4 linked regions of the Mytilus edulis genome follow. The protein of the gene in region 3 purifies or fractionates together with the protein of the main gene of each other region. This does not show direct contact. Links are inferred from orthologs where the notes say so. Each region holds a gene or a part of one and is shown on either strand. Other genes may lie near its edges. The genes, in order: centrosomal protein of 78 kDa-like, dual specificity tyrosine-phosphorylation-regulated kinase 2-like, E3 ubiquitin-protein ligase UBR5-like and transcription factor Sox-2-like.

Evidence for each region.
Region 1: the proteins of E3 ubiquitin-protein ligase UBR5-like (region 3) and centrosomal protein of 78 kDa-like purify together in Homo sapiens (affinity purification with western blotting; 3 studies listed by BioGRID, with this or other methods). This does not show direct contact. The link is inferred for Mytilus edulis from reciprocal best matches to the Homo sapiens genes UBR5 and CEP78.
Region 2: the proteins of E3 ubiquitin-protein ligase UBR5-like (region 3) and dual specificity tyrosine-phosphorylation-regulated kinase 2-like purify together in Homo sapiens (affinity purification with western blotting; 3 studies listed by BioGRID and IntAct, with this or other methods). This does not show direct contact. The link is inferred for Mytilus edulis from reciprocal best matches to the Homo sapiens genes UBR5 and DYRK2.
Region 4: the proteins of E3 ubiquitin-protein ligase UBR5-like (region 3) and transcription factor Sox-2-like purify together in Homo sapiens (affinity purification with western blotting; 3 studies listed by BioGRID and IntAct, with this or other methods). This does not show direct contact. The link is inferred for Mytilus edulis from reciprocal best matches to the Homo sapiens genes UBR5 and SOX2.

Annotation. Positions count from the first base shown.
Region 1 is NC_092354.1:21,995,477-22,002,893, forward strand, and holds the start of centrosomal protein of 78 kDa-like, read right to left. Parts: upstream 3,004-7,417; 5' UTR 2,891-3,003; intron 10-2,890; 5' UTR 1-9. UniProt on the Homo sapiens protein: Centriole wall protein that localizes to mature centrioles and regulates centriole and cilia biogenesis. Involved in centrosome duplication: required for efficient PLK4 centrosomal localization and PLK4-induced overduplication of centrioles.
Region 2 is NC_092344.1:83,552,010-83,559,455, reverse strand, and holds the start of dual specificity tyrosine-phosphorylation-regulated kinase 2-like, read left to right. Parts: upstream 1-4,425; 5' UTR 4,426-4,677; coding exon 4,678-6,387; 3' UTR 6,388-7,446. UniProt on the Homo sapiens protein: Serine/threonine-protein kinase involved in the regulation of the mitotic cell cycle, cell proliferation, apoptosis, organization of the cytoskeleton and neurite outgrowth. Functions in part via its role in ubiquitin-dependent proteasomal protein degradation.
Region 3 is NC_092355.1:19,654,598-19,662,138, forward strand, and holds the start of E3 ubiquitin-protein ligase UBR5-like, read right to left. Parts: upstream 3,019-7,541; 5' UTR 2,898-3,018; coding exon 2,836-2,897; intron 1-2,835. Other genes in the region: sialin-like, read left to right, coding at 6,738-6,897. UniProt on the Homo sapiens protein: E3 ubiquitin-protein ligase involved in different protein quality control pathways in the cytoplasm and nucleus. Mainly acts as a ubiquitin chain elongator that extends pre-ubiquitinated substrates.
Region 4 is NC_092346.1:79,535,554-79,543,146, reverse strand, and holds the start of transcription factor Sox-2-like, read right to left. Parts: upstream 3,015-7,593; 5' UTR 1,572-3,014; coding exon 609-1,571; 3' UTR 1-608. UniProt on the Homo sapiens protein: Transcription factor that forms a trimeric complex with OCT4 on DNA and controls the expression of a number of genes involved in embryonic development such as YES1, FGF4, UTF1 and ZFP206. Binds to the proximal enhancer region of NANOG.

The sequences.
Region 1 (7,417 bases), on a different chromosome or scaffold from region 3:
TTTAGTCACCTAAAATAGAAATGAGAAATCTTATTACTGATAGAAATATTTTGTGAACATTTATTTAAAGTATTTCTTATACTTTTTTTAACACTGAATTCACTATAATATTCTTCAAACAATTTACCAAAGAAAGAGTTATTTCCCTTATGTTCTGTAGAGTTATTTCCCTTCTCTCCAGAAGGGTTATCTCCCTTATGTCCTGAAGAGTTATCTCCCTTATGTTCTGTAGAGTTATTTCCCTTCTCTCCTGAAGGGTTATCTCCCTTATGTCCTGAAGAGTTATTTCCCTTATGTTCTGTAGAGTTATTTCCCTTCTCTCCAGAAGGGTTATCTCCCTTATGTCCTGAAGAGTTATCTCCCTTATGTTCTGTAGAGTTATTTTCCTTCTCTCACTTTACCAAATGGAGACAACTCTCCTTTTTTTTCTCTCTCTACTATGGATTTATTTTTTGACAGAGAAGCTTTATAAGGGAAAAAACAACAGCAAAACTTGGCACATCAAACATCAAGGATGGCTTAAATTCATGATTCAGTGAAATGTGTCTCACTTTTCAAACATGGGAAAAGCTATTTTCCTAGTAAAGAGATTTGAAATTATAAGCTACCTCCAAACAAAACCATTAAGTTTGTCAAGAAATATTTATTTTTTTCGCAAATAGATCAGAGTGACATATACATGTACATATATTCCTTGTATCAAACAAGATCAATTATGAAATATTTACCATTAAACATATATACATGTATTAATAATCTATTCAAAAGATGCATATTAAACAACTGAACAGAAATAGGGACCGGTTGGTAACAGTTGATAAAGGTAAGTGTTGTCGTAAACTCTCGATTTAAAAAAAAATTTAGAAACTTTATTGCAAACACTGGATGTACAAAAGACCTTATCGTTATGTGTCCTCCATTCCGTAAAATTCTAAGTCATAATAAAAAACATCTGACGCCACAATAGAAAAGTTATTGTTGTATGACGTCAATAGTTCAAGTGGAACTGATTTTTATGTCAATCAAGACAGATTTCCAAATACAGTAAAACCTGACTAAACCGAATCCTGTATAAACCGAAAACCTGTATAAACCAAACATGTTCATAAGCACCATCATATCAAATTATGTGCGCTGAAAACCTGATAAAACCGAACATCGGCCAAAACCGAAGAAAATCTTAAGTCCCAAAGAGGTTCGGTTTAAACAGGTTTCACTGTAGCTATAAGGTGTATACCAATGGTGCAATCAGGCTTTAAAATTGAGGACATTTTTCTGATGATTTTTAATGTGATTTTATGGACTGAAATAGCATGGGATGGGGGGCATATATATTGTATATAGCAATGTCGCTTTAAGTGGTACTCTTCCAGTTTATCATGCTGTCTCATGTAATTATTTTTATATTTTTTTATTCCTATGTACATGATGTAGTCATACCCATCAATGCAAAAAAATAAAATAGCCTTCCAAGACATAACTATTTAGACAAAAGATGTGGTAAACATATAAATGACATTGTCAATAAACCTGTCAAGCTATAGACTATAAATGAGGGGGGTAGGAGGGGTCTTGATCCGGAAATCCTGAATTTAAATAAATTTAAACATGTTAAATCCTGACATCCCGAATTTCGAAAAAAGAATTCCTTAATGTTGAAAGGGGTCAATCTCAAAAACCTGAGCTTAAAAACACCTGATCACGAAATTCCTGATAAAGGTCCTATCCCCATGAATCTGGGTCCATTCGCGCCCATTCACGTTCGCCCCCTTTCACTTTCGCTCCCTACACGTTCGCGCTCAATTTCTATTGGTTTTGTGTTTAATAACTTTGTAATCAAGTTTTGGCAAGTGTATTCCTATGAGTATATTTGTTGTCATTGTCCTAAATTAAAGTGAGACATGTTTTTTTGTGTTGAATAAATCTTAATCTTGTTTTGGTTAAGTGTATTGCTAACTTTTATTTCATTGTTTCAAAATAAAGAGTGACTATAACAACATAAAATTGAGAAAGGAAATGTGGAATGTGTCAAAGCGACAACAACCCGACCATAGAGCAGACAACAGCCGAAGGCCACCAATGGGTCTTCAATGTAGCGAGAATTCCAGCACCCGTAGGTGTCCTTCAGCTGGCCCCTAAAAATATGTATACTAGTACAGTGATAATGGACGTCATACTAAACTCTGAATTATACACAAAAACAAAAATTAAAAATCATACAAGACTAACAAAGGCCACATATTTTTTTGTGTTGAATAAATTCTAATCATTTTTTGGTTAGTGCATTGCTATGATTTTTTGTTTCATTGTTTCAGATCAAAGGGGCCTATAAGCTGTTTAATAAAATCTTTTGTGTTTTTCATTTGAAATCTTCAATGTTTTTACTCATACCAAGCTAAATACATGCAGTATTTACATCAAATCAATTAAAAACAACAATCTTCATTTTCTAATTATTCAACTGGAATTTTATTGAAAATTGGGTACGAACGGACCTTGGGTGCAAACATGCGAGGTGCGAAAGTGTATTAGGCACAAACGAACCTGATACCTATCCCCCTCATAAATTATTTAGGGTTGTACATGTATGTTGTAAGCTTTTTAACATTTTGTATACTTCATGTACTTTAAAGAAAACTTTTGAATGCACACATATTATAATTTCTTTATAACTTTGTCTATTAGAGTATAAATACAAAGACAGTTACAAACATTGAAAAATTGCAAAATCAAAACAAAACATGCCGGTACTCGTCCCAGTTTTGCAAGATCTAACAGAACATTTCGGAGATTGACATGCTATGCGCCGATTTTAGCCATTTTACGATATTTTCAAAGTTGTTCCTCTGATATTTTATCACTAGACTTCGTGACAAGATAGATAATTTACCATTCATCACAAATAACAGAAGTTTTTCGCTTTCAAAATAAAAGGTTAGTGGCGCTGATTATTAGTTTACATCCCAGAATCCATTGTAACTTCCATAACCATCTGACGTCACTTCCGATAACAAGCACGTTCGTCTAGAAAATTCTCACAAAATCGAAAATAGATCTTTTGAGAAGGAAGTATCATTGCTAAAAGACTTAAAAGAAACGAAGAAACATAATTTAGTAGGTAAATTAAGCAAGAAATCTTTAGTGAAAGTTCCGTAGTGGTTGCTTTTTTTAGGCAGAATGACAAATTTGAAGAAAAGCTTGGTTTTTAGCAACAAAAAGGGGGGATGAAATATATTAGCTACCATTGTTCAAGATTTTAGTATGACACTAATAATCTATTATCAAAAGTCGAAGATTTAATCATGTTTTCATTCAGTTGCCAGTGTTAGTTGATGTATATTCTTACATACAAGTAGTCACACGCCCATCTGCCTGAAGCCTTTAGTTTATTCTTTGACTTTATCTACAAATACAATTCAATGTATGAATAAACCTTATCGTTATTTGTCCGCCTGTACTGGACATCACACATGTTCCCATAATATTTTGACGTCATAAATCAAAAGATCTGACGCCACAATGGAAAAGTCTTAGTGTATGATGCAAAAGTTTACGAAGCGGGACAGCTTTTCCGGTCAGCAATGGTCAGCCGGAAATAGCGAGAAGTTGTATACACTCACTATAGTACACCTTAGCGCTATTTGTCCCACATACCTAGTCATCACAAAGGTTCTCATAAATTTTTGACGTAACAATAGAATTTATCTAATGTTACAATGTAAAAGTGATTGTATGACGCCAATAGTTAAGGTAGCACAGATTCTTGCCATTCTTGGGTAAAGCAGCAAAGATTTCCAAATAGTGATAAGGTATATTGTTAAACTACATGTTGTAGACAAGTTTTGATGTAATTTTTAAGCAGTTAAGCTGCTTTATGCGAGCACCCTAGATTTATGTTCTACCCAATAAATGCTGAAATATGTGCCACTTTTATTATCTGACTGGCTATCATGTTATTTATAACTAATTGGACACTTTTTTCATACTTTTTATTTGGAATATAAAAAAATATTACCATAAAAACGTTAACTGGTCGTCGATTTTCCCAAAAGTTTTGAAGTTGCACATAGGAAGTAGTGCTCGATAAAATTCCTTCTATAGTTTATTATCCACTGTGCTGTTGGCTAAGATGTCAAAGATCAATTGTATGAAATATTTGATCGCCGAAAATCTATAAAGATGAGTCGTTTACATTTCCCATATGGCAAAAGTCGTAGGAATATTGTTGATCATCGATACGTATTTCATACGTCAGTAGTCTATTAATCAGCTGATATAAGTTGGCGGCAATTTCAAATTACATAGAAGACGAAATTTACGTACCTTTTAAAATTGGGAGAATTCTGATGAAACATAGGTACATCATTATTAATCATTTTATTCGTTTTTTTGTCTGAAATGATTGAGATTATTTAAATCGTCTTTATTCAGTAATCTTAAACGTATGCTCATTTGTTTTCTTGTTAATATTATTCCGATTTCTCGCAAATGACCTTCATGCTTGTCAAATTAAGTTATTGTTATTGTAGTTTTCTGATTGGTCGATGTCAAGGTCATTTTAAGATTGTTTCGCTTTTGTGAACAATGTAACATAATGCTACACGTGCTTTGATTAAGCTCAATATGTGCTTCAATAAATATTGTGATTAAAACTTTAACAATTGTTTTCTAAAGGACGGCATTATTTAACTTCAAAGTCGCATATTTTGTAAAATATTAAGTCCGAATCTGTGACGCGTATCACACCGTAATTGTTTTTAATTTACAAGGACTTTTCGATTTCCGGTACAGAAAAATACGACTTTTTTAAATGTTTTTTTTTTTTATAATTTTTCACATTTAAACACTCGTTAAGTGTTATTGAATCAATTCTATGCGGTTCCTTCAGCAACTTTATGCTGGCAAACGATTTCCCCATGAAAATAATATGAAAAGAAATCGCATGATACAATAAAAAGGTAACGACTAACGAGGCTCGAGAAATGTTTTAATATGTTTTCAACAAGTTGAAGTTACAAACAAGTTTTTCTTAATTCCTACTATTACAGTTATTGAAAGTTTAAATACATGTGTTTTTTTTATTATGATATTAGTAATGGAAGACAGTTAAACCGTAATCAAGATATATTTTAATTCAGTTATAATTTGAGACGTAAAAAAAATTGAGAGTGAACATGCAGTGTTCTCCCCAGGCCCTTAAAGGACCACGGGCCCGCGATGTATAATTTTCTACCGCGGTGGTATCGTTCTTGCCGCGATGTATAAATTTTCTCCGTGGTGCTAAAGTTTTCGGTAAAAAATTCGTATTAAAATCGGTAAAGTTTCAAATGACTTCAACTTTCAGTGAGGGTTAAAATTTTACATGAAAATTGACCAGTTCTAACCAGTTTAATCCAGTATTGATAGGTAGATTGTTTACACCACGTGATCGATTTACCTGTTGAGGTTAACATTGATGATTGGATTTAATCGATGTACATGATTCTCTTGTGTTTTAATTAATTAAGAGATCATAATTTTAATAACAGACTTGTAATAGGGGACAAGCAGACATTTGTGAATGAACTCTTTTACGCCAGTCTTTTAGTCAAAATAATTTGACTGTTATAGAAATTAATTGTGGAGTTATTTCCCCTGATTTTGCTTATTACAAATAAATGCTCCTCACATATAATTTCTCATTGAAAATTAAAATAAAGCACAAATTAAATGCAAAATTATATTAGAATGTTACATTAAGGATAAAAAAAATCTTAGAAGATACCAACGAAAATGTTTTGCAAATTATTTTAGAGAATGATACCTTTATTGATACACAGACATTTTGTAATTTTATATTAAATAGACTTTTACTTCACATGGGTCATTGATAAAAAAGCATCTTGTGCCTAAACTTCACAGGAATGTGAGTTTAGAATTACTAATACAATTGAAATTAAGTATTTATAAACTTAAACTTTTAAAATAATAACTAAGATGCATAAAAAAAATAAAAAAAACTGTTGTTAAAAAGAATGGAAAGTAGGTTTCAATTTACTGATGGTTCTGTAACAAAAATTAATCTTGTTCAAAGTTCATTGTTATGGTCAAATCTAACATGGGGAATGTGTAGTGTAACTTCAAGTATTGGGACAAAATGGCTTGATCCAAATATAAGAAGTAAGATATTAAAGTATAAAAACTGTTATATTGATTTACTTTTTCTACCAATAATGTTCTGACCCAAAGTCCATACAACACAGTACCACAGTAAACAAAACAAAGGCAAAAAGGTAATGACAAAAACCAACAAGAAAAAAATAAGCGACGCAACGCGACTCAAAATATTGTAAAATTCATTTCGTCACGCGTTACCCTGGTGCTATCCAAAAATCCTGGGGAGAACACTGAACATGGTGAAAATGGGGAATGTGTCATAGAGACAATAACCAGATCTTAGAGCAGACAACAGTCGAAGGTTACCAATGGATCTTTACTGCAGGGAGAAACTCCAACACCCAAAGGATTGCTTTTGCTGGCCCCTTAACGTAATAACAAAAATGTAAACTATTTGAACTAGTCACTTGTTCCGGTGGAACTTTTTAAACCAGAGGAAGAACAAAGTAACTACAATGTAGTTAATAAGTTCCGGAGAACTTTTCGGCTAGCTAGTTCTTTCCGCCTGGAACTTTCCAACCTCGCAACAAAAGAGCATTTACAATAACTTGGTCATCATACTAAAATCAGATGTATACACAAGAAATTAATAAAATTAAAAAAAATGTACAAAACAATTATGAAAAATAAATATGATATACAGCTACAATCACCACACTAGTCACTGGGTCCTCACTATGGACAGGTACATACAGAATGTGGCGGCTTAAACATCTTAACTGGCACAAACCTCTCCCCTAACATAGGACAGTGTATGTGTATAATCTCAGACATTGAATCTTTATAAATATAAATTGGAAATAACTTTTGAAAGTGGTAGGATTGCATAACATAAACATTACTGTACAAGCATTATTTGGTACTTTAGAAATAGCTGAGAACAATGCCTGAGATAAATATTTTGACTAATTCTTTACACTATTCATCTGAACGTGGCCAAGTTTGCCGTTGGGTTTTTGATTAACTGCCTATAGCACCCTTTGGTGCTTTGATTTAATGAACAGTCTGCACCCAAAACTTTTTCATCTACTAGTCCGGACACTAAATATCAAAACTTGTCCCTATAAGACTATAGAAAATTTTCACCAGTCCGAATTAATATTTACTAGACTGGGGCATCGGACTAGTGGCTAACGGTGCAGACTGAATGAACTACCCTGGTTGACCTGGGTTGATTTGTAGAAAGCACATCTAAAAAAAATATTCTGTGAAGATACATGTATATGCTTTGAGATGCTATTTAATTGTGGGTACAAGCATA
Region 2 (7,446 bases), on a different chromosome or scaffold from region 3:
ATCTATGAAATTTTGACACAAGGTTTATGACCACAAAAGATAGGTTGGGATTGATTTTGGGAGTTTTGGTTCCAACAGTTTAGGAATTAGGGGCAAAAAAAGGGCCCAAATAAGCATTATTCTTGGTTTTCGCACAATAACTTTAGTTTAAGTAAATAGAAATCTATGAAATTTAAACACAAGGTTTATGACCATAAAAGGAAGGTTGGTATTGATTTTGGGAGTTTTGGTCCCTACAGTTTAGGAATAAAGGGCCCAAAGGTTCCAAATTAAACTTTGTTTGATTTCATCAAAAATTGAATAATTGGGGTTCTTTGGTATGCCGAATCTAACTGTGTATGCAGATTCTTAATTTTTGGTCCCGTTTTCAAATTGGTCTACATTAAGGTCCAAAGGGTCCAAAATTAAACTTAGTTTGATTTTAACAAAAATTGAATCCTGGGGGTTGTTTGATATGCTGAATTTAGAAATGTACTTAGATTTTTAATTATTGGCCTAGTTTTCAAGTTGGTCCAAATGGGGGTCCAAAATTAAACTTTGTTCATCAAAAATTGAATAAATGGGTTCTTTGATATGCCAAATCTAACTGTGTATGTAGATTCTTAATTTTTGGTCCAGTTTTCAAATGGTCTACATTAAGGTCCAAAGGGTCCAAATTAAACTAAGTTTGATTTTAACAAAAATTAAATTCTTGGACTTATTTGATATGCTTTATCTAAATATGTACTTTGATTTTTGATTATGGGCCCAGTTTTCAAGTTGGTCCAAATCAGGATTCCATATCAAGTATTGCACAATAGCAAGAAATATCTAATTGCACAATATTGTGCAATAGCAATTAATTTTCAATTGGAGTTATCTTTCTTTGTATAGAATAGAAGTTGATAATATATGTTGGAAATTTGCCAGACATGACTATGATGTCATTTTCTATTTTTATTTGCCAATAACTTTATGTAAATAACTTCATTGGAAATTTGCCAATATAAAATGTTGCTGATGAAGCTTTTTTTCCTTATCTTATCTAAAATGTTTTTAGATAATGTATGTTGGACATTTGCCAGACATGACTATGATGTCATTTTCTATTTTTATTTGCCAATAACTTTATGTAAATAACTTCATTGGAAATTTGCCAATATAAAATGTTGCTGATGAAGTTTTTTTTATTGTTTTATACAATAAACAATGTATATTCACTTTTACTACCAACCAATCTTTACCATTCAGTGATAACAAGCACTTTATTTTACATTTTAATATTTTATGATGTATTTAAAAGAGTAGTTATTGTTGCAAACTCCATTAGAAATTGGAATTGATATCAGTTTTGGAAAAAGGGAAACGGGGATGTGAAAAAAAAAGGGGGGGGTTAAATTTTTCTCATTTCAGATTTCATAAATAAAAAGAAAATTTCTTCAAACATTTTTTTGAGAGGATTAATATTCAACAGCATAGTGAATTGCTCAAAGGCAAAAAAAATATTTTAAGTTCATTAGACCACATTCATTCTGTGTCAGAAACCTATGCTGTGTCAACTATTTAATTGGTTTTTATATTGACAACATGTATATATAGAGAACTTTTAAAGGACGAATGACTATGTGACCAGAATAATTAGATCTACAAGTTATTTGACTTTAAGTTAGCAGATATCTTCAAATTACCCTTTAAAAGAATAATTACCTATACATGATGATTTTTAACATTTTGCATTATTTTGGTAACTATAGTTAAGAGAGAGAATTTTAACAAAATAGGATCTTCAAATTAGTCAACATGGAAGAATCGTCAATTGATTGCTTATAGGAGTTGTTGACCTTGAAAGTTGTTCATTTTTCATTTTTTACAAAAAAAACATTACAGATAGAGCAAGATCTTAAGCACGATATAAAGATCTACAAATAAGCCAAGATTATCGAAATTGTCAACAGATTCCGTCTAGACGTTATTGCCCCTGAAGACCATATTTACCTGTTTTATAAATACATGTCATGATTGCAGACGCAAATATCGAGGACATCAATACTTAATTAGAACAAAATCTTCCTAAAAAATATGATATTCAAACGATTAAATGTAGGCAGTGGCTATTTTGCCGGCTCCGAATGAAATCGTCAATTAACCTCAAATAGAAGTTATTCGCTCCTTTATATCTAATAAAGAATTGGATGTCTGCCGATGTTTTGTATTGTAACCAAATCAGAGTTGATGATTTTTTTTACAAAGTGAGAGGTTTAGCTAGCCATAAAACAAGGTTGAATCCAACATTTACTATATATAAGGAAATGCCTGTACCAAGGAATATGACAGTTGTTTTCCATTGCCTGGTTTGAGTTTTTGGTCTTACCACTTTGTAGAAGCCTAATTTGCATGGTTGTGGTTGATTTCTCGTCCCACGTTGTTGTGTACTACATATATAGCTTTCTATGGTGTTCTTTCCTGACGACTGAAGATATATTAGAGAAGGTCGTTTGTCATTTAATCTGATTAATCTATTAGGTGATTGTAGTAGAATTTAATGCTTGGTTTATTTCTAATGTTGCTTAATTGTGGCTTCTAGATTTGCTCTGTGTTGCAACTGTGGCAGATGTTTATATTTTATTGTACCAATTGTGTTGGTATTTGATTAGCTGATTTTTGTTGTTGACTGTTCGAGTAAAAGATAGTAGGAACAACTATTGAATACTAGTAATTCCACGTTTTGTTTGTGTTATTTGGATGAATTATATAGATATACTTAGGAAGATGTGGTGTGAGTGCCAATGAGACAACTCTCCATCCAAATAACGATTTAAAAAAGTAAACCATTATAGGTCAATGTACGACCTTCAACACGGAGCCTTGGCTCACCCTGGACAACAAGCTATAACGGTCTTGTTTTAATTAATCATGTCTGTTGCGTATTCCTGATCTGAAGCATTCATTGGATGGTCTACCCTTATACCAAGGAATTGTATATTTAAATATACCGCCCTTTTTTTGACGATCAATGCATTTGAATGGGGACATGTAGTTGAAACCCCCCCCCCCTTTTTGTCCTTTGTTAGGACCCCCTTTTAAAATGGCTTGATCCGCCCTTGATATCCATCATGTCTAGGCCTATATAATATTACAAAAAAATGCAATGATTAAGCTGGGACTACTAGTTCAGCGAATTTATATATTTCGATTTTTTGGCATAATATGATATGAAACTTTTATCCACGTGCTTTTATCACAAATGCAGTTATTTCAGTCTGGGAATAGTCACTTTGATTTTCACAAATACTTATATCATTATATGTTTGATATGTATGTTTATTGTGTTATTATATGTTGGTCACAAACTGTAAAGTTTATACGACAAATATTTGATTTGATTGATTTGATTATACAAAATATTTCGCAAATGTACAATATAGTATCACGGTGCCAGTTTTATTTATTTGTTAAATTGTATATTTGTTGACTCTTTTGTATATTATGTTTGCATTTTAATCCGTCAGGGTTTTACTTTTTTTACAGTACAGAATTTATATATGATTTTTACAATTATTCAAGTAGCCTTAGAAGTGGCTACCAATGATATATTTTTTTATATATATTCTGTGAACAGTTTTTTTAATATATATGTTCCTAATATGTTCATTAATATTTCATTTGATATTAAAGGGGCACTAGCTACGATATATATAAAAAAATAAAGTATGATTTTTTTTAGATCAATCATTAATCAAATTGGAATAATGAAATAATAATTTGCTTTTAGCAATCAATTTCCTTTAATTTTGTTGAAATAAGCGATTACACATAATTTTTGACTGATTCACTTGCAAGTGAAAACGTCATCATCATTCTAACCGGTATTCATGTGAACTTCAAGTTAACCCCTAGCTAGAGATTGACAACGCATGCATTGTACGTGTACTGGTTATTTAAAGAAAAAGAATGTCAACAATGAAAGTGAAACTACGGTAAATCATTTGATTACTAATTCGATGCACATAAATTCATTCTTATATGGTTAAAAACAATGAGAAACATCTATTTTTAATCTATAAAATAAAATCAAACAGACCTATAAAAATGCAATTGCACGTGTTGGTTTAATCTATTCGTATCTTTATTTTTGTTTACATCGCTTATATGGTCATCTGAGGTCAAATCGATAGTTAATTAGATGGCGTCTGGACTAAAATACACACGAAACGAACCTATATATTATCTACCCCATGCTCTGTAAACTGTTTATTTTAGACTTTTGATAGTTTGGATAAATGTTTTACATTGTTATAAACCAAATATGAGAATTTGAGTCAAATCGGTTACAATGAATTTGACAGCTAGTGCCCCTTTAATATAAAATGTTTTATCCAATATACTCGTGTGTTTCGTTTTGTAAAAATTACAAGTAAAATGTATTGATTTCTTTTCTGTGCACATGTGACCACAGTTTCCATGACGTCATAGACACTGCACAACTGGGTCGTGCTTGGCAACCGATCCTCCATACTGTCTTAAAAAATAGCAACAGATGTGTTTTTGGGATATAATTTGATGCCAGACAGTAATTCTACATTTCATTGACCATGTAAACAACAAATTTGAGGTGAGATCATTGAATGATTAACAAATGAAGACAAAATTGGTCTCCAGGCAAAATCTCAGGGTCATAAACAATCAGGAGGGGGGAAAATGTCGACACGAGTCAAACCCCTGCCAATTCAACCACTCTCGGTTCAAAGAACAAGGTCTATGCTGACCACTGGCGACATGTATTCTCATCAAACAACAATAGATCCAGCCCAACATTTACCACCCCTTACAAGTCAAACTGTAGGGGGTGGTGCCCATAGTGCCCACATAGCGAGTGGCGTGAAGGTACAGCAGTTATACGAAGACCACAAACATCACTCGCATTCAAAACATCATGGACAGCATACAGGAGATTCATCTAAAGATTCCAACGTTGTAGCACGTCCTAGTTCAAGTGCAGGAAGTATTGGGAGCAAAGGTGGTTCCGCAGCGCGACGTAACACCGCATGGAGTCCAGAATCGGCAATGAAACAGTTTATGCATAAATTGACATCTTTTGAGCATCATGAAATCTTTAATTTTCCGTCTGTCTTTTTCGTGGGACAAAATGCAAAGAAAAGGCAAGGTGTTGTAGGAGGTGCAAACAATAATGGTTATGATGATGATCAAGGCTCCTATATTCATGTGCCACATGATCATATAGCATATCGGTATGAAGTATTAAAAGTAATAGGAAAAGGTAGCTTCGGTCAAGTAGTAAAAGCTTATGATCATAAAGTAGCTCAGCACATTGCATTGAAAATGGTTCGTAATGAAAAACGCTTTCACCGACAAGCACAAGAAGAAATTAGAATTTTAGAGCACCTTAAAAAGCAAGACAAGGACAATACTATGAACATAGTTCATATGTTAGAACATTTTTCATTCCGTAATCACATTTGTATTACATTTGAATTACTTAGTATGAACTTGTATGAACTCATTAAGAAAAATAAATTCCAGGGATTCAGTTTACAACTCGTTAGAAAGTTTGCTCACTCAATTTTGCAGTGTTTAGATGCATTGTACAAAAATAGAATCATTCATTGTGACCTTAAACCAGAGAACATTCTTTTGAAACAACAGGGTCGTAGTGGAATTAAAGTAATAGACTTTGGTTCAAGTTGTTATGAACATCAACGTATATACACATACATTCAGTCTAGGTTTTATAGAGCACCTGAAGTGATTCTTGGTGCAAAGTATGGAATGCCTATAGATATGTGGAGTTTAGGATGTATCTTAGCAGAATTGTTAACTGGATATCCAATGTTTCCAGGAGAAGATGAAGGTGATCAATTAGCTTGCATTGTTGAATTGAATGGCATGCCACCCCAAAAGTTATTGGATCAGTCAAAGAGAGCACGTAATTTTATCAGTTCAAAAGGTTATCCAAGATACTGTACAGTTACAACATTACCTGATGGCAGCACTGTACTGAATGGTGGACGGTCAAGAAGGGGAAAACCTAGAGGTCCACCAAATAGTAAAGATCTGGTAACTGCATTGAAAGGATGTGAAGATCCGTTGTTTTCGGATTTTATGAAGAGATGTTTAGATTGGGATCCATCAACCCGAATGACCCCAGGTCAGGCATTGCGACATCCGTGGTTGAGACGAAGGTTGCCAAAACCACCACCAAATGAAGTAAGAACCGACTCTGCTTCACGAAGGAAGACATCAACAGCTAATACTGCAAGTGTAATAATTTCAAAAGGGCCACAAAGTGGAAATTCAAGTAGCAAAGGGCGAAACCCAGTAACTTATGATGAAATGTCGGCTCCGATGCCCCCACGAACAAAACTGCCACAAATAGGATCAACAACGTAGAGATTATCGTTTACAAGTATTGTGATGCAAATTTTGTGAATTGCCGTCCAAAATTTCTTGATCTAGTGTTTTAACAGATCATCATGCACCCTAAATTTATTGCCTGATGTTCAGTAATAAATGATTGTGTGATTCACTTTATATTCTGGAAAGCCAAATTCTGTTCAAGGTTGAAAGTCTTCAAGTATATTATATGCACTAGTATAACTGAACAAGTCTGGAGTATTTATGTCCGTAGATATAATCGTGTGTGTGCATGAAAATGATATATAGTAACTGAAACAGTTTCTTTTACTTGTTGAGTCTTTGGATAGTGTCGAGAGATGTGCTTCATCAGAAAAATCCAGGAGTTTTTATTCAATATAAGCCTTTCTGTGATCAGCATTGTTATTTTAACATTTTGACTGGAGGCTGTATTTATTTGAAACCATGTGATGTGTACTGTGAGTGCTACTTTGATAATTAATAATTTATTTTTGAATGTCTTGTCTCAGAGTGTTATAAGGCTCTTATTTTTCTTTTAATATCTCATTTTATAAAAATATTTTGGATTATGATGAAATGTATTGAGGTGATCAACATGTATTTGGTGAAAAAGAAACACCCAAATAATTCTTCAACTTCCTGAATAAAAGAAATGTTGTTGTCACTACATGCATAGAGAAAATTTAAATTACAAACAAAACAAGTATTGTCATTGTGTAACTAAACACCACTGTCTTAATTGAACCTATTTTGTATTTTTATTTTATAATATGTTGGTGTAATCATAACCATAATAACTAAGTATTGTCAACCTGACCCAGGAAACTTTGAAATGTGATTTTTTGAAAAGAATGAGCTTAAATTTTCCCCCAGATATACTATTCTAGGTATTTCCTCAAATGACGACAGGCAAAATAATAAAATGCAGTGAAATATTTGGCATTGTTAAACACCTTTTATATTGTTAGCTTTTGAATGGGTTATCCCGATATGTATACATTTGATTCAATTATATCTTTTTGCCCTTTCTATAATACCTGTACATGTATGCAGTAATTAAAAAAACTTTACTAA
Region 3 (7,541 bases):
AGCGTTGTGCTTCTGAGTTTGTCTAAAATTTTTATATCTTGACATTGTGTGTATATATCAGCCCTCAAAGTAGCCTCTAAAATGAAGTTGCCAACTGGCCACCAGACATGAAAATTTAGTGGCCAACTCAAACATAGTCAAAACTTCAGTGGCCAGGAAATAATTTCAAGTTGCCTACAATTTTTTCTATTTACACAAAAACAGGCTTGTAAATTAAAAGTATTACGTTTTTTTGCTGTCTAGTGTAGAAAATTGTTTGTATAAATCCACCGTAAAATAACCACATGATTTATTTAATTTTATATTTGTTGTACATGTTTTAAATCAGTCTGCGATGTTAACCAGTAGTTTGAAGCCCCAGACTAGTAAAAATCTCATCAGACTTGTGCAGAAGCACTTGTGATTGCCCCATCAGTCAAGTGAACATCTGAAATCGTTTTGTAGTTGTAGCCAGTATTTTATTGACTCTATAAGGACAAATTACAAAATTGTCGCCGACATTGTTTACATTAGTTTACTGACGAAATTAAGAACGAGGCTCTACCATGTGCTTTCAATTAACACAATCTATAAATTCCAAGGGTTTTCTTTCAAATGGTATGCAATAGTCAAACTTGTGACTGAGTGCGGAAATATGAAGATAGATAGATCTGTGCCATATTCAGTCGACAACAAATTGCTACCAAATGAACTACAATTACCTGATGCAATTAAGCGCTGACAAGATCAAGCTTAAATCTAAAAGGCTCTTGAAATATAGTATTCATTTGTGTTACTGTCTAGCGCTCAGACTATTTTTTAAAAAACCAGCTCTGATCAGGGCAAAATTTCCGAAAAATTTAAGGTCGCCAGATTTTCAATATTCTAATACTAAGCCTAAATGGTGACCAGTTATGAATTTTTTTTATCACCAATCAGCTTTTAAAGCCGCCCAGGCAACCATTTCAGTAGACTAAATTGAGGGCTGTACATGTAGTAAATACTACTGGTGGAAACATATGGGGACTAAGCAAAGCATAAATAAACAATTCCCACAAACATGACCATGATTACTTTTCCTTCTACTTTGTAGTGACAACCTTCAACACTTTGAATTTTATGTTACTCAGGCCTCTACAATAACTTTTTTTTCAACTTGTCCAGTAGGACAAGTACATACCAAAACTTTTACTTGTCCGAATGAAATTGTAACTTGTCCAAAAAAAAATCTTAATATTAAATAACCTTTTTTGCATTTCAAGTTGATTCAAGGAACAAAATGAATTAAAAAAAAATTGAACAGAATTTGATTTTTATCCTTTGAAATACTTTTAAAAGATATGAGCCATGAACAACTGAATTTAGGTGTGTCACACGACTTAGGTTCTAGCTTTTATCAATGCTAAAGTCTCATCATACTTTGCACATGAGGCACCATCTGATTGGCCTCTAAATGTACACTCATTGGATTTTTATCCTATTTTTTTAAAAGTTGAAAAAAGTTTATTCAAATGCAATCAATAAAAAGAATTTGAGGTATGATTGTCAATGAGACAAAAGACCAAATGACACAGAAATTAACAACTATAGGTCACTGCATTGCAAGTATTGTTTTTTCTACATAAAGATCAAACATGATTTGATGATTTTTATGGTAAATAATAAATTTCCTCATTCTTATTTAAAAAATACGGTATGGACATTGGTATATATTATTATAAAGCAACAAAATAAGGTAGGAAAAGAGGTTCTGATTTGTCTTGGTCCAGAAATGTCTACTGCCTCGCCAAACTGTCTATTAATCATGTCTATGAAATATGTCTCCTACCGTACCCAACTGTCTATTAAACTTGGAGCCGAATCATTTCAGAGCTGGTGACGAACTGTTTTTTAAAGTTACCTTATCTCTGTATCTAAAAAGCGCATGGTTGAATGGGATGGTAAGACTGGTTTCCGAGAAAAGTGTGCTTTTTACCTGTTAAAAGTACTTGACAAAGAACCAGTTTTAAATTATCGATTGCAAGTCTGAGTCTTGAGAAATAGAAAGTTTCAATTAGTTTCAGTTTAAAAAGGAAAGATGTCAAACAAATCTTCTTTTCTTGTTTTTTTTGTTAATAATTATACTTTGTTCATCAAAGTTGATTTATTTTCTGCAGAATGATTCTACTTGTCCCATCGGACAAGCTTGGTATAGCTTTTACTTGTCCGACCTTTTTTACCTCTGGTACCGGACAATTGGCATGCATTATTGTCGAGGCCTGTTACTTGAAATTGATTGAATAAGCATAATTGGTAAATTGCCAAATTTATTTACACAAATTAAACCATATTTAGTTTGAAATCAATTCAGCAGTATGAAGTATGAAATAATTGGGATAATTTGCAAGAAAAAAAATAAATAAAAAAATTGGAGCTCTGACATAAAATTTAAAAACTAAAAAAGACAAAGAACAATGATGAAAGAATTCCAGAAGTCATGGTGATGAGAAACAGCTTATGTCAGGTTCAAATATTGATTTCATTTTTGTTGTTGCTTTTTGTATAAATTTTTAACCATTTATTTGAGAAATATATTAAAATTCTTCATGTCTACAAAAAGAGCATATACATGTAGGTCACATTTGTCACATCAGCCCAATCATAAACGATTAATACATTTAATGAAACAAAACATTTGGCTTGTGTTAAATAATTTCAGGGCACATAAGGCATTAATCTAACAGTTGCAATTGATTTCGATGCGTAATTTACAGTGACGTCAGAATACCGTAACGCGATAAAGAGCACGTTTATTAAATATTTGATCGTTTCTTTTATCTCGAAGTACCACAGCCCAAGTACGAATAAATCAATTACCTATCGTTCAACTGGTCATCTGTTCCAGGTAAAGGATGGACTATACAATGAATGGATGTCATCACGTATTAAAAATATAAATTATTATCTTTTTACTGGAAATTTTATGAAATTTATTCCGATTTTAAAAGTTAATTGATCTTCGCCATCTTTGAAGAAATTTCCATAAGTCAATTGTTACCTGAAATACGATTGGTTAAAACATATTTACTGTCATTGGTTCCGATTGGGTAGTATTTTTATAGTTTTTCGGCATTCAAACTTTCGGATTTGTACTTAATACTAGGGCTGAAAGTTAGAGGTTATTCCGATAACATTGTAAGTAACAGGTGCTTTCAGTTTCAGTTTACTGCATATTATTTCATAACTCATGTTACATATGTTTTTTGTTATTTACAAACAAATCATAACACAGGGACCTGATTAACATTTTCAAATTCCACTTCTTTTCTTCAAATGAAAAAAATCTTGCAAGAAAGTTGATAAATAGTGGACATATGCTGTTGTTGTTCGTCATTAAGGTTCATCATAACAAACAAACAAATATGGCTGTATTTACATGCCAAAAATTACTCTGAGTACAGACTTACCTGTGAAGTTGGAAAAGTTTTAATGCCTGGCATCCACTAGATATAATAAAGTTAAATGCATTTTGTGTTTCAGAAAGATAAAATCTCTTTTGGATTTTGATGGGCATTTTTTTTCCTTCATGCAAAAGGTGTGAAAATTAACTAAGTTGTAGTACAACTATGAGATGCTCCCTCAGGTAAAAAAACCGGTTTGTATTGTTTGATTGTCCTTAATTGACATGGACTAGAGGTATCTTCACAACTATAGGTGAGTTAAAGAGTTTATCTGAGTCAGTCAGTGGACAGTATCAAAGTAATTCAGGTGTTTGTTTATTTTTACACCTTCTGCAGAAAGGAAAAAAAATGCCCATCAAAAACCAAGAAAGATTTTATCTTTCCTAAACACAAAATGCATTTAAGTTTTATATATCTAGTGGATGCTAGGCATTAAATCTTTCCAAACAGCACAGGTAAGTCTGTACACAGAGAAGTTTTTGAGGTGAAAATTCGGCCATATTTGTCCATTTGTTATGATGAACCTTAACATAATTTATAGACATGTCAAGCTGTCAAATGGTAAATCTGGCTAGATAAGTCTAACATACGTTTTTGTTTGACTGAAGAATTTGAATTTGAATTTCCATCGAATGCAGATCAGAAGAATAAATTCTGCATTGCAGAGAGTTGAGATCTGATTTTCAGAAGATACATGTTCATGATATAGTAGAAATACAATTTCAATAGGATATCTGTCTAATTGTATTGAGCTGCACATATTCCAGAATAAGCGTAACAATCTGGAGGAGATTATATACTGGGTACATAATCTTCATGTAGTTTCTATTGGAGGTTGTATTTTAAAAGCTGCATTTCTTTATTTGACATTTCTGACTGGCATGGGCATGATAGGGTATACATTAAAATCATCCTGAATATGCATAAAATATTTGCCACTGTATGTAAAGCAACAAACAATTAATCAATCAGTCTTTAAAATGTAATTTCTGATATGTTCAGCAGTTGCAAATAATCATCATGATCATGCTTACAGACTATAAAGTCTTATATACAGAATATACAGTCTTAGATGACTAATGATTACAATTTTTGTGAATGACTATACTTCAGGCATCATACCCTTTGTATGGGTAAATGATAAATAGAAAATTAAGTTTGTGTTGAAGCTTGGGGAAGATTCAGGATTTTTAAAGGAGAGGTTGAATAACAAAATTAGTTATATAAAATTAACCCAAACCTCAAATGTTTTTGATGATAATTCTTTATTAAAGTGTCGTATATATTGGCAGCTTTATTAGCTTGAGTCCATTGTTATCCTGTCCAATCATGGGTGTTTTTCTCAAAACAAAAAAATTTAAATTTGTATTCTAAGTAATGAAAAAGTGTCTGAAGGCTGGAATTAACATTGATATAAAAAAGTAAGAAGATATGGTATGATTACCAATGATTCTACTCTAAACATGAGTCCAATTGACACAGAAATTAACAACTAAATGACTCTCTACAACCTTCAAAAATTAGCAAAGCCCATACCACACAGTCAGAATAAACATGATAAAATAATTCACTCATGTCTAATTTATGTCATGTATGTACATGTAGGGAATAATGAATGAAAAACAAATGTGCTACACAGCAACAAATTCAACCATTGAGTTTCAGGCTCCTGACTTGAGACAGGCACACACTGGTTAATATAGTCTGATGGTTTGCTAGTCTATTTGCCAATAACTATAATTGATCCTGTAGTTAGAGATTAACTTTAGGAGGTAAATTCATTTTTAATGACAATGGGAAACTAGCCAATACCAATATCTTTATTCTCATAATCATTGCAGGGGGTCTCTTTGGGGGTTCCGATCCCGGATCCCGCTTACCGTTTTGTCCGATTCCTGTATCCAGCTTACACTATGTACGTAAGCAATTCTCATTTTTTTGTCATTTCCCGAGTCCTGCTAGACCTCATTTACCGTTTTCACGACACAATAATTTGACTTTCATGTGTCACGCTTACAAAAAATTGGCAATCCCGCGTCACGCTTAGACCCCAATGAGACCCACATTGCAGATACTTAGGTACAAAGAGGTAGCAAAAAGTTTATATTTAAATATAGAAATATAACTATATATATGTAATAACACATTAGGTCTCATACCCAGGGATGATTCCAGGTGTTTTCAAATGGGTCCCTTGAACATCAAATTGGGAATTTTTATTCTAATTGGGAATTTTTTAAGCATAAAATCTAAGACGAAATAACATTATTTTCCTGAAAAACAGAAAATGTATATTATTAAGTTTAACCTGTACACTGATGTTCATGTAAGTTGTAACATTTTTAATAATTCTGGTTGGGCTACTGTCACATGACTGTTATTACATAAATATCATTGAACATGATGCACTAGTCTATCATCTTAGCTATAGTTACCTAGGCCTATTACAAAAACATATATTTCAGCTAACATAAACCACTGAAAAAAATCATTCATCAGGTATTTTTTCAACAACAGGTCATCTCTATAAATTTACCTTAATTCAAATGGATTTCAAATTGAACTGGTCAATTGTCGAATTCAGAAAAGCAATTACAAAAGTTCATATACTTAATTGATAAGATATTTAAAGCATTGAACCAGTGTTCTTTAAAATTATTTGGATCATCTTCAAAACTTTTGAAATAGTTCAATAATGATGACATCATATTTCATGAATATTCTATCATCAACATTATTTTCAAAAAACGCTCAAACTGTGGTCTTTTGAGGAAATAATTTCTGTTACAAAACAAGTTTTCATCATATTATATAACCGGCTCTGCTGGGTGAACTGCTTTTACAAGATCGGCGTCCATTTAACCTTATCCATCAATGTTATATCAAAATTTGAATTTGCTCTCTGCCGAGGTCTGCTTTGACACCAATTTTTATCAACCTGCTGGGCGATCTGCTTTTACAAGATCCAAAAGTCCCATAACATATTAATCAATTGTATTCGGCTGCTAAAATTGTTTCCCACATGTTGACATACATGTAATTAAATCGTTGTTACTAAGATGCGATCGTAAACAGCATTCTTATCCGGATTTTAAAATGTTTTGACAACAAACTATATATAAAAAATTATAGTTGCCTTAATTGGTGACAGAAACTTTTCCTGAAATATCGATTTTTATTTTACTTTCCTGAATTGGGAATTCATTTTCATGTACATTTTTTTGGGGCCGCTAAGCCGCCCTAAACAATATAGTGGAATCATCCCTGATACCCAATCAAGATATTAAGCAATAACATGTATTGTCGTTTTACAGAAGTATGGAAAGTCATGATGGAAACCTTAGAAGTGACAGTTCATCAGAGAAAAGATCAATTCTACCTCCTGCAGAAGAAAGTCATGATGTCTGTCCAAGGCAATGGGCTTTGTCAAGGTTTCCAAAGAGATATATTGTGGCAATAATGGCATTCCTGGGCTTTTGTGAGTTAAATGTTGTAGTTAGATATGTTTTTATGCCCCTGCTATAGTGGAGGGGCATTAAGATTTACCCTTGTCCGTTTAAGCTTCTGTCCGTAGGTTCCAACGTTGGTTTCTGTTCTCTAACTTTTGTTTGCCTTAACCAAATGTTATATAAATTATACACAATGATTATTACTATTACAGACAGAATAAGTTCGAAATTTGAACTTTAACCTTTTTAGAGTTATGCCCCTTTTAATTTTAGGTAGTGACTGTACATTGTTTTAATATTATACATAGTGATGGTACAAACATGTATGTAATTTTGAAAAGTTTAAGCAAATGGTTTCTGCTTTATTTATTATTTATTAATTACTATAGCTACATGTACTTGTTTTAGCTTTCAGCAACAGATATTTCTTAATATTCATTCATGTCTATAAAAACAATGTGTCTTGAAAAAATATGCTTATGTTTCACAAATAACATAAAACATCCATAGACTGATTCATGTGTAATGGCATGGATTGCTCCCAGGCAAAAAATACTCTTTTATCAGTATGTTAATTTATATCTGAACATCTTATTTTCATAGATCATGTAATACATATATACCGGTGATAAAAGTAATCAAAACTATAAGGAAAGAAAATGCAGAACAATAA
Region 4 (7,593 bases), on a different chromosome or scaffold from region 3:
AGTAGTTTGGTTTAGTTCAAACAAAATCATTTTACCATATAAACCTAGAGCCACATAAAGTTGAAATATATTTAAAAATTAAATTTTAAACATAAAAATATATACGGAACATTACCACGATTTAATACATAAACAAAACAAAATCTAATCATACTTACAAACCTACTTCAAGAAAATTGAATTTACCGTGAGCAAATATATATATGTGTGGAAAATTTCCCTAAATTTGTTTGGCGAATTTCGAATCCGACTTATTATGCTAAATATATTCTACAAAATTATCTCGTTTCAACAGTTCGTGTATAAATAAGTTGTTCACTTCTGTAATGATTGTAATAAAATTATATAGATCTATTTTCAATAATTTCAGCACATTTTTTTTGCAAAATTCGCACCATATAACTCAAATAAACATTCACACACGCACGCGCTCGTCTCATTCGATTTGTCTGCTTTTCAAACATGCTATACAGTCTTACAAATGTCATGGATTTCGACGTTCATTCATTCAACAATGTAAAAATGATAAACAATATATATATAATGGGAAATATAATGTTTTCTCTCGCAGCACAAATTTGTAAAACAAATTAAAAAAACAGAAAATATTACATATGTGTCAGTGGCACAGTGTTATTTACCCCTGCAGCTTCCGATGACGCCGTTTGCTGATAATGTTGTTGCATAAGTCTATGGTGAGCAGCGGCACTATTTGGATCGTTGGCATCTCCCGGTAAATACATACTAATCATTTCCCGTAAATCTCCTGCTTGACGGGGTTGTCCTGGAACTTGTGGTTGATTTGGTTCCCTTTTTACGGACGGAGGAACCTGTGATGGAGACATAGAATACGGATTCATTCCTACGGACATTGTGTAGTTTGAGGTCCCATTCATATATGATGCGGATGTCATCTGATTAGCAGACATTTGTTGAGCTGGAATAGAATAATTGCCATACTGAGCTAGTCCCATTTGATTTGCCATATGATAGGCATTTGGATCGTGCATCATGTTCATAGGATATCCATTCGGCATATATCCATTCATTCCGGGATACATTCTGTTTGGATCAGACTGCAGCTGTCCTCCACTGCCGGGCATACCGGGTAAAGCGTACTTGTCTTTCTTCATGAGGGTCTTTGTTTTCCTGCGCGGTCTGTACTTGTAATCAGGATGATCCTTCATGTGAATTGCTCGAAGACGTTTAGCTTCATCTATGAACGGACGCTTTTCGGATTCGGATAACAATTTCCATTCAGCACCAAGTCTCTTACTAATTTCAGAATTATGCATTTTAGGATTTTCCTGGGCCATTTTCCTTCGCTGACCACGAGACCACACCATAAAAGCGTTCATGGGCCTTTTCACACGATCGTCAGCTTTCTTGTTACCAAGACCATTGTTGTTATTGTTGTGTTGTCCATTCATGTCCGGAGATGGAGGAGAATGTACTTGTTGTTGCGATGGATGTTGATGCATGTTCATACCTCCAGTAACTGGCACATGCATTCCTTGTGATGCTGGTGGTAAAGTTGTAGTTGGTCCCTGTTTAGATAAGTCACTATCCATACTATAAAATTTGAACAGTGTTCCACGTGCTTTATACAAGTCCAATACACTGATTATAATAACTGAAGATAGTCAATAGCTTTTGAATAAGTTCAAGTCCAATAAATGATAAATCTCAATACGGCTTTCACTACCAAACTATAAAACAGGTCTTATAATTTCGACTTCTTCTTATTCTTTTGGCTAATACGGTTTACTAAACAAGGGATATCGATTCGTCAGTGAAAAATAGACACTGCCCCGTCCAATCAAATTAGTTCTTTCTTGGTTTTGGCGAGTTATTCACGGTAATATTAAAAAGTGGGCGGGACTTCGCAGGTAAAGTTTATTGTCGTATCCAAACAATTGAGTGAATTCAATCATGTTGAGAATCGCTCATGTCGTGAAAAGTGGGCATGGTCTAATATTGACATGCAGATGAAAAATTATCCGTTAGAATTTTTTTTACAGGTGTTGTTATTTTTATATTTCATTACATTTCAAAATATTTTAATAAATATAAAATTCAAGTTACTCATTAAAAAAATAATAAAATTTTGTGTAATGATTTGGGAATAATTGTATTTTTTCTAACGCATTTAAACGTGGACCTGAAATAGTACAACAGTCCAATCTCTGTCCAATGTCATTATATTAAAAAAAAATTCATAATGATAAAATAAATAATGAAAAGAGCCCTTTTTCTTCTAATTATAGTTTTATGGTTTCAAATTGAAAACCGAGATAAAAAGGGGGGCAGAGACTCTTTAATAAGAAATCTCACTTCAGTTGGCGATACAGACACTTTTATAGCAAGCAAGGACTAACAGCTTATCTGTCGATAATTAAAATTTCAGCAGTTAGTATTGATGTAAAAAAAAAAATCAGCATCTGATTATAAAATACTAATTTATTATGAAGAATCTAGATTTGAATTCTTATTGTATTTTGCGCCCTGATTGATAGAAAATAAACATCATCTTATTCTTACCCAGAAGCGTGTTGGAAGCTCTTGCGGACGGGTGGCGGAGAAGCATGTTATCTATACAGTATAAAATGAAAGACAATTAAACAGACTAGAAAAAAAAATAACAAATTTTAAAAAAAGAATTGCATTGAATTTGTTTTGTTATTTTGTTGTTTATTTAAATTTTCAGTGATATGGAGGCAAAACCAGCGTTGTAGATTTCAGAATAGAGCAGGCTATGTCGCAACAAGGCAGCACTTGCACCCGCAAAGTGGGAAGGGATTTATATAAGTTTCAATAACTTTTTCCCCAAACCACTATAAATTAATATGGTTAACTCAACCACCGTTGAATTAAGACAGTAGTGTAAATTTGATCCCCCCCCCCCAAAGTTTTGCAGAATCAAATCAGGTCCACTGTTTACGATAAACTTTTTTGAAAACATAAACAAACATCTTTTTTTTAATTTATTATCATTCACATTATTGTTTTATTATTATCATTATTATCTCTATTTTAGAACGAAGGGGACTTGCGCAGTATGTGCCATAAACCTCAGACCCCTAAATTTGTAAATTTGTTTCAAATCTGTAACTTAAAAATCTAACAAATGATATAAAAGACAGAAGCGATTCTACTAAAACGTAGATATTTTTTACCAGTACGGGAGAAACATTGACAAGTCTTATGTGTGTAGCATCTAACCAAAACAAAGCCATGCATGGCAGACTAAACCTAGGTTTTTATCATTTCTATAAGTAAATCTTTTAACATGTTGTTACATCTGTAACCACCATTCTAACATTATTGTATAATGTCCTGTATAATTCATAATGTAACAAACATCACAAACATCACAAACAGAAATGCTGCTATACGCGTGACTTTACATTTGTTAAAAACATCTCTGGTTTCTTTCCAAATTACGGCCAACTGACCTCTTTTTAAAAGATATAGTATTATCACTAAAAGCTGCAATTTTTCAAATTTCTACATGCAAAAAAAAATCTCTTACCTGCTTTTTAAATATTTTGTAACAGATTTCTCTTTCTTTGGAATTGTTCTATTCATTTAAAGACGGTAACGGTAAATTTGTTTACTGCTTTTATAAACAGCGTGTTTAATTGCCCGCAAATATAAATATCATTCGATGTATACAAAAGTAACTCTTTATATAAGAGTAAAAGGGATAAAGTATTTATTTCTTTTGATATACATTTGTATACATGTTATAAAAGGTTTCAATTACATTTTTGTATTGTATTTTATATCTATAGTATTGAGAAAGGCAAACAATAGAACATTGAATGGCCATTGTAATTTGGTCAAAAGAGGAATCAAAAACGTCTAGTTCTACTCTGACCTTGGCCGTGAGGACAATGATACAATTAAAAATTAAGGAATTGACCCACATTTAAAAATATAAACATTTACACGGGCTTTTTACCTTAGTTTAGGACGTGTGTGTTATGATCTACTTGTTGAAATGCGTACCAGCTTTGATCTTAATTGTTTGCAATAAGAGTACCACATATATTCAGATAAAACATACGAAAATGAAATGTTTGCAATAAGAGTACCACATATATTGTGGTAAAACATAACAAAAATGAAATGTTTGCAATAAGAGTTCCGCATATATTGGGGTAAAACTTAACAAAAATGAAATATTTGCAATAACAGTTCCGCATATATTGTGGTAAAACATAACAAAAATGTAATGTTTGCAATAAGAGTTCCGTATATATTGTGGTAAAACATAACAAAAAAGAAATGTTTGCAATAAGAGTTCTGCATATATTGGGGTAAACGTAACAAAAATGAAATATTTGCAATAAGAGTTCTGCATTTATAGGGGTAAACATAAGAAAATGAAACTTCAAAATATAATCCTAAAATATTTATCAAATATTATATTTTGACTTTATTTCTACTTTGTATTTGCTATATAAATAATTCAGCTGTATATGGTAAGTAAGAATAAGTTGAAACAAACATTTGCACGTGTTATAGAATAGTTTTATCAATAGTTTATGAAATTTACCCCCATCGCCAAGTAGAGAAAGCAGAGGATTAAGGGTTTTATCCTTTACATTGTTCTTAAATCCTAGGCATCGTGCGTTGTCAACGAGATATAAAGAAATGGGGGATCTAAACACAATGTTCGTTAATTACTTCGGTCAACTAAAAGTGAGTCAGCTGAGAAACTTTTCCTTTTCATATGTGAAAATTGAGATCAAAGAATCGGCAATAAGTATAAACTGTGTAATACATTCCACACCTGAAGAATTGGACCTTAATTTTAGTATTATAGGTAGTGTCAAATACAAGATTTTATTGTTTTTCGTGACAATCTTGGTATTTTTCATTAAATCAAAAACAATCTAAATTTAACAACATTTAAACAATCGTAAAGTTTTATTTTGGAATAATCATAAAAACAACTTTAATTTATTTTGATTTGTTAGAAAAGAGGTAAAATAAATAATAAAACACAACCGATCAGTTTTCATCTACTTTTGGTGTTGTTAAACCTGGAAATACTTGTATGTCATAAATTTGTAATAACAGAAAATACCAAATGATCATCATAATTTAACCTATACTGTAATTCTGTTTAAACGATATTTCATAATTCTTAAAACACTATGATTTTCCCAGAAGCAGTATTTTATTCATTTGTTCATTCTAAATGAGTTTTCCCTTAGTTTATCATCTAACCTATGTAGTTATTTGATTAGAGGCGGATGGTTTTTTCCAGTGACATGCATTATATGAATATGATACTTATTTAATTATTATCTAGACTATTCAATATCATTTAGATTAATTATATCAATTAAAATTCATACTTCTAACTTTTTCGTCCGTTTACTTCATTTTCCCCCTAAAATTCTCCTTATATATTAAAGAAGCACATTGTATTTGAATCAAAGAAGTTGTTTTTCTTCTGGTTTTGTTTTTTGTTTCTTGCTTCCTTTAGAAGCTTTAAAATTATTGCTATGGAGAGTGTGGAATTTATTTAAATATTACTGCGACATATTATTTTCTAATCGTGTAATATGAAGGTACAATGTGAATCGTGTATATTGAGGATTAATATATGATCGGCCATATCAAAACAGTTCCATTTCTTTTTTGATTTTTAAGTTTGAATTTTATAAATTGGCGACATCTTGATGTATGTGCCAAGCCAAATAATCTTTATTTTCAGTGATAATCGCTTGACATCCTCGTTTTGTCATATAAACGGAAAGTGAAAATGGAATTATATATGACAATAGTAGAAAGCGGATGCGATTAATTGATTTAGTCTAATTAACGGGTACATCTCGGTAGGAACCCCCCGGAAAATTAAGGTAAAAAGTTCCTTCAATTATCAAATTAATGAATGACAGGAAACAAACAGGGTGAAAATTAATTGAATTCCAGGTCGTAGAGTATATGTCTATTTTCATAGGTGTGAGGTACAATTTAATTGGAAGTAGAAAAGAACTAAATTATCATTCACAACTAACGGCATTTTTTCTCTTTATTTTACACTATTTTTCTACCTTCCAGTGGTTCTCATATAAACAAGGTGACAAATCTGAGATTGGAATCTAATTAAGTTTTTCTGTTCAAACGATTGCTTGATTGTTCTGATAAAACAAAATGTACACCGAAAAGTTACATGACACGGGTCCGAGTTGTTTACATAATTATTAAACATCTGAAAATTATTGCCAAGAATCAAAAATTACTTCCAGAAAATAATACTCATATATAGTATAGACAGTTGTCGCGAATTAATTAAGATATGCTTAATTATTTCAAAATTGCCTCATATCTGGCAGACTTCTTTTTAATATAAATACAATATACATTCATTAACGAAAACTGATGTAAAACTTATAAAAATGTGTTTTTCTCTGTACCGGGTAATGCATTGCTCACGGGATTAAACATTTATATATATATATATATATATATACACAATTTGTAAAAAAAAAATATATACGAAAATGTCTTTTACAAATATTTTAAGTTTACAAAAATTAACGCAGTAAATATAGAATTCTTTCAATAACTGATAGCCCTATATTTTTTTTTATATATATAAATTTGCTCTATTTTGGTATGAGAGTACTAAATATAAATAGCTTATAAGATTTATACACAACCCTTAGATGGTGAACTTTTTTCAAATCACATATATTTTAAAGTGTGTATTATAAGTGTACTTTTTGATAGAATGATAACATTTTAACAAATGTATTGAAATGTAAGGTCTTATCTTCAACGAAAGTATCAAAATAGAAGAGTACTTTTGTATGTTCAAATTCAAAAATGGCTTATATTTAACAAATATTCTAGACAGAAAGAAGAAATTTAAACGCTTCTGTAATGACATGTACAAACATAGTTAAGTATTTTTCCAAATAGATACAAAGCAAAGCAGTCGTCCGTGAAATACTACGTAAAAGGTTAAGCCAGCAAATTTATCGTCGCCATCTTGGATCAACAAAATAAACTAAAGTTTTGAACATTCTTAAATTTAATTTTCAACATCTCTAGGGTAATTATAAACCAAATGCATCATATCGCTTTACTGATGTCCACTATATGCATGAAAGTGATTATTTTATACGGAAATTCTGGGACTTGTTTCCTGATGTAAACACGGTTGCTCTTATGCAAGCTTCACTCTCATGGCATAGTAAATTCTACCGTGTTAAAAAAAAATCAAAAAAATAAACTGATTAGTTCTAGAGTATCAGTTTACATGCACACGGTGACAGTTTTTCTTGCAGCGTTGCGATTTATATCGAGACATGTACACCAATGTCAGATTTCACACCTGGTGCCAAGATGTAAAAAAACATACTCTAAGGCGAATGTCAGTTTCTGATTGAGCTAATATCGATTTCAATCACGACAGGAAAAGTAAACATCTAATTATAAAACTTACCAAGAGTTCAAATCATTAAATTTTCCTCATTCTCCATTTTAACATTAGATTTTATAAAAGCATATCACATTTTATCTTTTGTATCCTAAAACAAACAAACAGTATTTCCTATAATTAAAAAGATT